Daphnia pulex: one gene and its partners. The protein of the gene in region 1 purifies or fractionates together with the protein of each later gene. This does not show direct contact. Links are inferred from orthologs where the notes say so. Each region holds a gene or a part of one and is shown in the gene's direction. Other genes may lie near its edges.

The links.
Region 2: the proteins of myb-related protein A-like (region 1) and protein lin-52 homolog purify together in Drosophila melanogaster (affinity purification with western blotting; 3 studies listed by BioGRID, with this or other methods). This does not show direct contact. The link is inferred for Daphnia pulex from reciprocal best matches to the Drosophila melanogaster genes Myb and lin-52.
Region 3: the proteins of myb-related protein A-like (region 1) and protein lin-9 homolog purify together in Drosophila melanogaster (affinity purification with western blotting; 5 studies listed by BioGRID). This does not show direct contact. The link is inferred for Daphnia pulex from reciprocal best matches to the Drosophila melanogaster genes Myb and mip130.

The regions. Positions count from the first base shown.
Region 1 is NC_060022.1:6,349,768-6,353,882, forward strand, and holds the start of myb-related protein A-like, read left to right. Parts: upstream 1-1,276; 5' UTR 1,277-1,517; intron 1,518-1,597; exon of another isoform or gene 1,598-1,756; intron 1,757-3,238; 5' UTR 3,239-3,256; coding exon 3,257-3,490; intron 3,491-3,579; coding exon 3,580-3,729; intron 3,730-4,115. Other genes in the region: zinc finger FYVE domain-containing protein 9-like, read left to right, coding at 1-55, 118-409, 475-627. UniProt on the Drosophila melanogaster protein: DNA-binding protein that specifically recognizes the sequence 5'-YAAC[GT]G-3'. Component of the DREAM complex, a multiprotein complex that can both act as a transcription activator or repressor depending on the context.
Region 2 is NC_060027.1:6,465,597-6,468,704, reverse strand, and holds protein lin-52 homolog, read left to right. Parts: upstream 1-1,306; 5' UTR 1,307-1,620; coding exon 1,621-1,657; intron 1,658-1,714; coding exon 1,715-1,786; intron 1,787-1,850; coding exon 1,851-1,961; intron 1,962-2,192; coding exon 2,193-2,341; 3' UTR 2,342-2,490; downstream 2,491-3,108. Other genes in the region: echinoderm microtubule-associated protein-like 2, read right to left, coding at 2,540-2,665, 2,738-2,961, 3,035-3,108.
Region 3 is NC_060023.1:5,470,636-5,474,865, forward strand, and holds the start of protein lin-9 homolog, read left to right. Parts: upstream 1-1,393; 5' UTR 1,394-1,444; coding exon 1,445-1,463; intron 1,464-1,781; coding exon 1,782-1,999; intron 2,000-2,070; coding exon 2,071-2,242; intron 2,243-2,298; coding exon 2,299-2,435; intron 2,436-2,493; coding exon 2,494-2,705; intron 2,706-2,860; coding exon 2,861-2,996; intron 2,997-3,081; coding exon 3,082-3,252; intron 3,253-3,587; coding exon 3,588-3,701; intron 3,702-3,765; coding exon 3,766-4,113; intron 4,114-4,172; coding exon 4,173-4,230.

The DNA.
Region 1 (4,115 bases):
AAGAAACGGTTACACTTAAATGGGTAGATCAAGAACCATCTCCTGTTAATCTAGGGTAATTTATCAATGCATATTGTTTGAAAATTTTGTAAATTAACAATTGCTTGTTTGATAAAGAGTTCAATCTCCTATCGATGGTCGAAGCTTCACTGGGATATCATCGATTCGAGTGATGCAGCCGCGTGACTTTAAAGGCGAGGGTCATAGACTTTTGCGTTGGACAGAACTTTTTGTTATTCAAATAGAGGACAGTGCACGCTCTTCCTCTAATAGAATTGAGGATAATGGAGACATCACACGTTTCGCTGAAACTTTGGCCAAAGCTGCATCAGTGGCTCTGGCCGCCAAACTCGCAAGCCTCGAGCCTCACACTTTGATTGGGCTACGTGTTTCTTTGGACGGAGATTCGGTAAATTAGATTATACCTTTTTCTCTTAAAATATCAAATCATCCACCATGTTCGGCTTTGTCTAGGTGGAATATCAAGCAGGAGCCGGACAAACCTCCCTGCCGAATGCATGTGTCGAGGAACTGGATTCATCGCTAATCCCAATCTTACATCGAGAATCTTCAGGTCAAGGAGTTCCCTGTATAGTGGAACTTTGGTTTCAAGTCGTTCATCCGTAAATGGCGATTTCTTTGGCTGATGCTGATGCGACAGCTGTAACCGAAATGTGATTTGGCTTTGTAATATTTGTATAACAATGAAGTAGTGGCTTTTCTTATTGCTGCTATCCAAAAATTTTGTTACTCTGTTGTTATCACAAAGGTTCTATATACTGGTTGCCATTCCCCTCTTCCTTATCTTTTGAGAGAAAACATTTTCCCTCGTCTAAATACCAATAAACTTCGGTTAGTCATCTTATCTTTCCATTTGTTCGAAAAGTTATACTTCCTAACAATTTTTGAAATTAATATTTAATGATTTTAGTCATGTTAGCGTTTCCTTAACGCGAGCGCAAATTAGAAAACAAAATCATCGCACCTAATCTCATTTTCAAGATGAAAAAACCCATTGAAATAGACATTTTATCAATTTCAAATGCAGAATATAAGATGAGTTCATACAAAGATAAGTAAAAACGAGTGCATAGATGCAGTATTATATTTTGTCTAGTTTTATTTTTATCTTAGCTGTTGCCAATCGTAATCAGCTCCGCCATCTGTTATTAAACTTTTGAATTGCGTAAAGCCAGCCAATCAGAAAGCTTAAACAATGCGAACCAATAGGCGACGCTCCTCATCCCCAAGCTTGGGCGCCATTTTTTTTCAAAAAAGGGGAAGGGTACTGACAACAAGGCTTCCCGCCTCATGGAACTCCAATGGCCGCCATTCCCTAGTAGTCGCTCAAAACATACAGCTGCGGTGTGTCCGCTTTCTGAAAACAGTGCTAAGTAATTGAAACGAAACAGTAGTGTCGTGAGATTCTGTGGATTTGTTTACAATCATCTCACCATGGTGAGGTAAAACATCACTCATTTACCCGACCCGTTGCCAACTACGATTCAATACTCAAGGTAAAACGTGAAATCTCTATCTAGCATGCCTTGTTTCCCTCCACAAGTGGTGGGGACGATTATAGCAACAAAGCAGACTTTTCGAGTTGTGCGTTTGGCCCAGTCTGGACAGAGTTTTCGCTTTCTTTTGATGCTAGTTTTCTCTTAGGACAAAGAAATTTTCGAAAAGTTGTATTGCAATTTCAGAAAAATAAGTCAAGTCTGTTGTCGACTTTCTGGCGATTTTTTTACTTAAGCAGGTATACCCTTTTTTATGTTTAAATTCTCAGGAGAGCTGAAAAGGTCTTAGTCTCGCCTGGACAAAGAGTTTTACCTCTTTTAATCCAAACCGATAGAAGAATATGGTTTCAATTGTCTTGTCTGCAGGTAGAAAAAAAAACTTTAAAAAAATCGGTGTTTGGGAGTCAAAGATAACCGAGATAAGAACAAAGCCGGTTTTTTTTCTGTGAAGTGATTCTTATTATCTTGAAATCTTTAATTCAATTTCAAAAGTTATCGTTTCCCCAATGGAAAGTAACTCTTATTCCGACAGTCCATTTCATTTCCTAATTTCTTCGAAATTGGTAAACATTTCTGAAGCAAGTTTTGGTTTCAGCATTTTGTTTCCAAAAATGGAAAGTCGGGCCTCTCTCCATTGGTCATTAGCATTTCTTCGAGACGTCTACGTTTGTTCGTCGTTTTCCATTGTCCTTCTGGCACGGGTCTTTCATTATTACCGAAAAGCACATCTATCACTTTGATCTTAATAGGGAATTCGCTTCATGTTGGTGCTGACCACCTGCCCGATAATTGTGTTAGACCTGGTTTCCCCTCCACTAGAGTGAAGGCTGATTTGTATAGGGGGGTGACAGCAGCTGCTTGATGGCTAAACACAGGCGCGCCCGTATACGGCATTGTCTTTATTTAGTTCCGGGCAAGTTGGGGGGTACCATCGACAAGCTTTAAGTTTGATTCACTGTGTAGTCCCAGCAAAAGAGGTCAAGAGAGCACAGAACAAGCGACGCCGTCTATTTTTTTATATACGAGGGGTAAATATGGACGTCGAGATGGCATCAAAATAAAAGTTGCTCTCTTATGTTGGAACACAAGGGTTTTTTGCTTGCAGAGAGAGGGGAGATTGTGTTGGAATCGAGCGAGGGGGGCTGAATTCAGAAGAGAGGGGCAGCAGCTGTAGCAGATGTTCAATGCCGGCGTGCATACAGCGTCGTAGTGGTAGACTTCCTCTTTTTCTTTCACTCATGGCCGATTATGAAAGACCTTGTGCCTGTCCCACGGTTATCGATCCGTCCCCCTGGCTTTCTCTCTTGAGAGATTCTTCGAGGTTCTAGATCGCGCCACCCACCATAGGGAAACATTCCTTTTATCAGGCAAAGAAATGTGAGATCGAATAAGAGCGACGAGGGTGAATTTGGAGACGGAAGAAAATATTCCGTCTTTGCAGTGGAGCCCAGTCGTCTACTGTTTTTTTTCTTCTTCTATTATTCCTCTACTTCGGTCTTTTTACAGTACAGAGCTAATGTATTCTGAGTCATGTCGCCGGATAATCTCCCTTGCAACCATGTGCACACAAGAGCGTGAAGAACTTTCTTTTCCATTTGCAATCCATTCATTGTCCAAAACCCTACCGTAGGAATTTGAATGGGCGAACTGGAGCCATTGTCAACGCATACCTGTACCGTAAGACGTGAAATAATAACCCAGAAAATTGTGTGATTTTTTAGACCTGCCAAGTAGACGAGATGAACGACTTTGGAATGGACGCTGATAGCAACAGTTGGGGCTCGGATTATGGCGAGGACTTTGGATCGGATATTTCAGATGGTGAATATCAGCCGAACGGCGCCGCCACTGCCTCCAGCAGCGCCCAACACCACCAAGCGAGTTCAACAGCCACCTCCCGGGTTGCTACAAAAACCAAAGGAGGTGCCCAAGCCAGAAAAATGGTGAACCGCGGGAGATGGACCAAGGACGAAGTGAGTTTGCCTCCCCCGCCCACTACCTACCCCTTCAACTTTCAGCCCCAAGTCTTGTAGAGTTAATGATTTTCTTGCCCTTTTTGTAGGATGAAAAACTTAAAGGAGTTGTGGAACGCACCGGTGAAATTTGGGAGAACGTAGCCTCCTTCTTTGAAGATCGATCGGACGTTCAATGCCAACACCGATGGACAAAAGTCGTCAATCCTCAGCTGGTTAAGGGACCTTGGACCAAAGAGGTAAAATTTGTTTATACCTTTGTTTGTGTCTTTATTTTATTTTCCTTCTTTTCTTCTTGAAAATTCCGTGACTGATTCAATGAAAGCCTTATTTCCGGTTCATGTGTCGAGCATTTCCGCTTGACGATTACCTTGCCATTAAAAGAAAGTGTCCTCTCAAGATCGTACGGCCTGATAATTACCTTGAATGTTTTATGCTGTGTTGTATGGAGCAGAAACGATGTCATCACAAAGAAAACGTGAAGAATGGAGGGAACTTGCGGCAAATAGAGAGGATGCCGGATGCCAGAGGGGGGAAAGGAGGGAGTTTGAAGAGGGGAGAGAGAGCAAAGTTTAAAACAGGAAACCAAATTCTATGGCTTGGTGAAACAGCAGGGAATGTCCAA
Region 2 (3,108 bases), on another chromosome or scaffold:
AATTGAATTACTGAAGCAACTGTTTTTATTTATTTGATTGGAGGGCCAGTTTTTGAAAGTGAATAAAAACCCGCATCAGCATTAGACTGTGTTGGCCAACTCAAACTGAAGGAATCGACATCAAAAGCCTAGTCGAAACATTGCATCACTATATACTACCGGTAGCCAGTTATTTATTTATTAAGCTTGTATTGTTTGATGAAGCGTAAAAATAACGGAATAAAGAGGACGAACTCATCATAAAGGCAAAGTTGAAATGGGCTTGGTGAACGGTGAAAAATGAGCAGAGGGCTGTATAAAGTTGGGTGACAAGAGAGAGAGAGAAGAGTAAGAGAAGAGTAAGAGCAAAGGGAGGCCGCGCGCGGCGGCATTATATGTGCCTACTCCATTTCCGTGGCGAGTGGTCGAACACGCGCCTTCTTTTTAAATTTGAGTTGGGAGAGTTGCTGCTGCTGCTGGTGTACATAGCCATCTTTTCATAGGAGCCCAACAATGGGGACCAAGGCTAACGTCATCTTCCGGACTTGGTTTCCTGTTCGCTATGATCCGGAAGAGACTATGGGCTACCGCTGACGTCAATTGTTATCTTTCCTCCAATACTTTACATCCAGGCAGCAAGCACTCCTTCATTTCAGAATGGATCAAACAAGTTTTTTTTTTTAAACCCCCGGCTCTTTCTTTCTTTTTGTTGCCTTTTTACATTATGGCAGTTTCTGTCGAGCGTTTTTAAACACTTCGTATTTTTTAGTTTTTTTTACATTAGGCTCACGCTATTAAAACAACAGCGAAAGCGATGTCGCATTCTGGAAAGTGGAAACTAGAATTAGATTTCGTTTATCATCGCACAATTTAAAAAATTCGTTTTTCTAGTCGGTTCTAGTCAAACGGATGGCAATGCTATTACAATATTCGCAAATTAAATTGCAGGTGTATACAGTATCTGTCACTGAATAAATCCTTCCTGGATGCCAGTCGATGCGATCTAAGTTTAAGGGTAAATGTTCAGTTGTCTCTGGTTAATTGATTTGGATACGATCGTGTGGACACTGTAAACATTCTGCCTTACATTGAGAACAATCTGTTATCCAAACGGTTGCTGGTCGAAAATACCAGGATCTTCAGTGTATATTGTGTACCAAATTCAGTTTAATTTAGAGTATGAACTAGTTTATTAAGAAAAAAACTAAAAAAAGGAATTATCTGGTAAAATCAGCTGCACCGGTAAAAATTTTAAAGCCGAGTTTAACACCGGGTTGTTAAGAAATGCAATAGGTGGCTCTGGGTATCAAAATCCACAGAAATATAAGGGGGGATGCGTCGGGTAATATTGAAATAATATAAAAAAAGTTAATTGATATCTTTCAAAGTTGAATTTAAGAAAGGAATTTCAGAATTATAGGATATTTCATTCAAATCAATGATTTGCATACTGTTTTGCAATTAAGATTTAAAAAACTAAGAAAGTCTGGCAACGCGAATAGTTATTTGTTGTTTAATTTTGCAACGCCTAAAAACACAAAATACAAAGCAATCAGCTTACTTTTAGCTTTTACCTCACACAAACATAACAAACTCTACGCGTAGTTTCGTGCAGTTTCTTTCCTTGCAAACGCTAATAGAATGTCAAAAATGAAAGCGAAAAAGGAACCGTCTTCAGGTAGTAGTATACAATTGGTCAAGTTGTTAACTGCTTTTAATCTAAATATTCATACAGATTTGGAACAGAGTCTACTTAGTACTGAAAAACTAGATCGCGCCTCTCCTGACATTTGGCCTGAACGAAACTGTAACTATTCATTTACAAAGTTCCGTGTCGACGGGTATTGTAATAAAGCTTCTCTTTAAAATAGATCCAGGGATAGAGTACGTCATTGAGCCTCCAAGATCACCAGAGATGCCAGCGTTACCCCTATCCATCATTCCCCAAGAATTGGACAAGCATGATTATACACTAGTTGGACGTAAGATTGTGTAAAATGTTCAATTTAGAAATCTATCTGAGACATTCAAAACATTTCCTGTCCAAGTATTTCTTTAGTAATCTTTATGTAGCCTAATTTAGTTTACTACAAAAATCCATAACCTCTGTCCCAAACTCTTGGATAAATCATTGCAGAAATTTTTAATGGGCCACTCTTGATTTGGTTCATATTATCAATGAATTCTTACCTTATATTTACCTTTTTTTTTAGGTTATTCCAAATTAACAGCACAAGAACTGATAGCTGAAGTCAAGCAATTGCAGAATTTAGCTTATCAGCTTGGTCTGGAAGAAGCCAAAGAAATGACAAGAGGAAAATACCTAAATATACTTTCATCTAACAAAAAAAGAAAAATCTAAATATGATAGTATATGTTGACTAATTTGAAACAAGTCTAACACAAATTTTGCATTTCTTTTTTTTCTGATTTTGTTTATTCGTTCTTTAAAAGAAATAATAGTTTAGCTGTGGACTCTGATGATAAGTACAACAGAGATGTCGAATTTTACTATTTCTTGTTTTTCTCTTTTTTTACGCATGAAAAGGGATGGTATTTGTCAATTTTCTACTGTCCACTGGATTACTGACGAATCGCGACCACCGGCCGACAATACTCTTGTATCGTCAGATAGAAAACAAACGTTCGAGATGTTACTATGCCCCTGGTAAGAATGGCAAGGCGACTGGAAAATATGAAATATCACAATGATTTAACAATTACAATTTAAAAGGTAAAATAAAAATTTGGGTTATACTTTGGGTTGGGAAGGATATCTGTATAGCTTAAGACGTCCTTTATTGTCTCCTGCACACATAAGTTGCCTGGAGTTAGATGCACAGCACGAATAAACGTCAGCGCCGTCAATTCCTTCCGACAATATTCCTAGAGAAGTGGGGCTAACTGGGCAGGTAACGGAATTCCATTCCACGTCTCGTATACTAGGAACGAGGGTTATTTGACGACACACTCCAGTATTCCCTGGAAAGAATTCAAAGTTAAAGCTTCAATTAAAAAATGAGTTCATGTTGCCTTTTCGAGAATACATACGTACAATAGAACAATTCGTTATCTCCAGAATTCGTCTGAAGGTGCACGTTATCACAGGACCAATCCATTTGACTGATA
Region 3 (4,230 bases), on another chromosome or scaffold:
AAATACCTTTGTTCCACTGAACTTCTCTAAAAGAGAAACAATATCCTGTAACAATAACAAAACTGTTGACGAAATTTATTTTTACTGAACAAGACATCAACAGACTGTCAACAGACAACCTAATGGATTTTGTGGTTGTCCTAAGTCACAAAAAGCTAATGACTAAATCCGCATAAAATAAAATAAAATTTAGTATTACCAATGCTCATCTTCTCCTGTCCTTAACTTTCTTTCTGAAACAGACACGTGCACATCCAAATTTAGGTGAGGACGATACATATTCATGTCTAACTTCTAATCATTAGCCTAACAGTCAAAATAAAATTTATCGTGAGGCATTACAATTATGGTAAATTATTTCAGTGCTTACCATACATGATGACTACTCATCATATGGTATTTATATCAGTGAGTGACTCACAGAAATGGTTTAGTGCACTATGAAAATCAAGAAACCCATTTTATGGTCATTTTCCTGGGCGTCACAACAAAATCAATGAGTGACTCACAGAAATGGTTTAATACACTACCATGAAAATCAAGCAAACCCATTTTATGGTCATTTTCCTGGGCGTCACAACAAAATTAGTTAGGCAAACAAAATACGTAAGAAAACTCAAAATAATAAATGATATTGCGTTGATTTACCCTTCATGAAGCATTTAGCTATGCGAAACAATTACAATGACAATGATGAATAAGGTAATCCATAGTATAGTCTTTTGCCTAAGAATTGAAACAGGAATGTTGAAATTATGCGTTACTTTAATAATTACAAATTGCAAGCTAACCATGTCAACATGATGACGACGTTCGGTAACTGACTAACTGATAAATCAGACAACAAAAACAAAACAAACAGACAATCGAATTGATGTTGTGGTTGTCCTAAGTCACAAAAAGCTAATGACTAAATCCGCATAAAATTAAATTAAATTTAGTATTACCAAATGAATCGAAACTTACCTATCCGCTGAGATAAATTACTGTAAGTTTACACAAACAGTTTGAAGAAAATCGATGCAGTAGTTTAGATTTCTATAAATTTATTCTGATTCTGAATTAAAGGTTCTGGAAGCCTGGCCCAGAACAGCGTACACTCCCCCCACATCCCTCCCCCTCCTACACACCCAGACACCCGCATTTACTTTAATGCCTTCTGGTAGTACAAGTACTACCCTCAGGGATAAAAATTTGCTGTGATTCGAGAGTGTTAATAGCTATGAGGTATCCAATAACAAATGCAAGCTACAATTTAAAATAGTAATAAAATATTAGAAAAAGGATTTAGATTATTATAATTTAGAAGTAAAAAAATCACTAAATCAGCAAGAAAAATGTAATATTTTATTAATTTTTTTTTTTGGTTTACAATTCGTCAATGCGGCAACGTCCCAAGCTTGACGATTCGAGCGATTCTGAAAGTTGAAAAAACTGCTTGAAAATGGCGGATTTACTTGAAAGTAAGTTATCTTAACTGCAAAACGTAAACAAACAATTAAGCTTTGACGGTTAATTATGTTTTTTCTTTAAACTCAGTTTGAAAATCTTTTGTAGTTTTAATAATTTATTATAAATTTCTGTCTGATACGATTTGGGTTAAGCTCTAGAACGGCTCCTTACTTGTTTATATTGTTACCTCATATTTGCTTAAGTTTGTAATTTCTCATTCAACCAATTGTTATGAAAATTGAGCATTAATAGATTTTCCAAATCAATTGAAGTACATTGTGTTAAGAGTTTTACTTAACTTTAATATTTATATTTGAAATTCTGTATAGCTGAATCTGCAGAAGCTTTACTTTCATTCAAAAATGGAGGATTCAAAGTGAAAAGAGAGCTTGATTTTGGAGATGACTCAGAACAGGCGAATCAAGCAATGACTTTAGGCCCAGAAATGTTTGGATTAAAACGGATCAGTGATGTAAATTCATCCTCTAGTTCAAAAATAACTGGGAGTACCACTTCAAATCCAATCACATTGAACAGAAGAGGCATTGTAAGTGAGACTATTTGGACTTTATTTGATTATATGATGTAATAAATTGTGGAAACTAATTTTTATTTTAGCCAGCAAGAATTCGAAAAAAGAATCCATTGTTCTTTGATGATGATACTATTGTCAACCAATCTACTAATAAATCTCCAAGGAAATCCACAAAATCCAACAGTGGTGTTAGTGGATCATCTCATTCAAACCAGTTAGCACCTCAAGTTACCACTTCAAAAATAATAAAGAGAGGTTAAATAAATTATTTTAAAAAATGTAATCATGATTAACAGTAAATTGTGTTACAGGCCACACAAGATCTGCACCTGGCAGTGCAACTGGTACTCCGGAACGTCGCAGTGGATCAAATGCTTCGACGCCGCTCAAAACTACTAATCGAGTTAAGGCAAAGCTAAAGAAAATGAAGGTTAAGCCAGCTTTTAAGGTAAAATTTTTATATATTAAATATTGCCAATAATTGTATACTATATCATTTGTATTAGTTGCCGGAAAAGCAGAAGAGTGAACCTTTAGTTGTTGGACGTCGTGCTCGGAGTATTGTGGCCGCGGCCGCTTTACCTTCGGTTGCAGCAACAACGGCTGAGCAAGAAGCCGAAGACTTGAAAAAACTTGGTGTCCGCTTACGCAATTTACTTAAGTTACCCAAAGCGCACAAATGGGTCTGCTATGAATGGTTCTACAGTAATCTAGACCAGTACGTTTTTGTGCCATTTATTTTATACCTTGCATGGGGAAAAAGAAATGGTTGTAGTTGTGTGTTTCGTCGATTTCCTTATAATTTGTGAAGCACTCCATTTTGCTGTAACCGTTTTTTTTTTTTAATTATTATTATTTATTTATTTATTTTAGAGCATTGTTTGAAGGCGACAATGACTTTATGCTATGTTTACGAGAGTCATTCCCCAGCTTGAAATTGCGACAGCTTACTAGATCCCAGTGGTGTACCATCCGTCGTCTTATGGGAAGACCAAGACGTTGTTCTCAGGTGCCTAAATTTTTATTCATGCAAATGGCTTGTCCAGTTTCTAACATTTTCTTATCCAATTTTTCCCCCTCTTGATTCATTTTAGGCATTTTTTAATGAAGAAAGAGGAGAATTGGCCAAAAAAAGACAGAAGATTCGTTTAGTTCAACAGCGCAAAGTAAGCGATATGGCATCTCTTTGTAGGGATTTGCCGGATCTTATCCCTATGCCTTTGGTTATCGGCACCAAAGTGACGGCCAGACTTCGGCAACCACAGGTACACTTAAGCACAATACTTCAGCTATTTACTTAAATTGTTATCGATTTTTCGTCAGTCGACGGCAATCTTGTGTGATCATACCAAGATGCCGTTGGTCTAATGAAATGCCGAAGTATTTTCGATTCCCTTAGTATATATGAGATGATTGCCGTAGTTATTCTAAGTGTTTTAAGATAACAGCGCAAGAGTTTGAAGTGGGTATACATAGCTCAATAAAAGAATATGTGGAGTGTGACGTTAAAACTATGACCTAGTGACTATAATTATTTATGATTTAAAAAGAAGGAAAAATAAATACGTAGTAATTATTTATTTTTTTCTTCCCATTAAAGGATGGATTGTTCGTTGGCCAAATCGATGCCGTAGATACGTCCAATAATACATACCGCATCACATTTGATAGACAAGGATTGGGAACACACTCTGTTCCGGATTACGAAGTTTTGGTACGTGTAATGTTCGTCTTGACAACGAAAGACATCTTCAACTAAAAACAAATTTCCTTGTTAGTCGAATGAAACAGTAGACATGATTTCGATATCGAGTTTGGCTCAACGGTTTCGCCCTCGCCCAGCTGTTTTACCACCGACCCCCGCAATAATACCACTGATGGCTTCACAGCAGCAAACACTAACAATCTCGAGTCAACATCAACAGCCCATTAAACAGTCTTCCCTTGAAGTTGCAATGCCTACTTTATCTTTAACTTCACATGTCAGTGGCACACGAATTGGACACACTTCTCATTCTGATTCTTCAAGTTTAGTCAGCGATCCTGTCTTGGGATCGTCTAATTCAAGATTGACACCACAAGAAACGACGTTTGGCTCCTTGCCCATCCACGTTCTGACACCAATCGTAAGTCCTTTGAAAATCTGCGTATTATTGGAAATTTGTAACATATATTTGTTCTATAGGTACGACTCTCGAAGATTTTAAATATGAAAAAAGATAAGGTTAGAAGACTGAGAGATA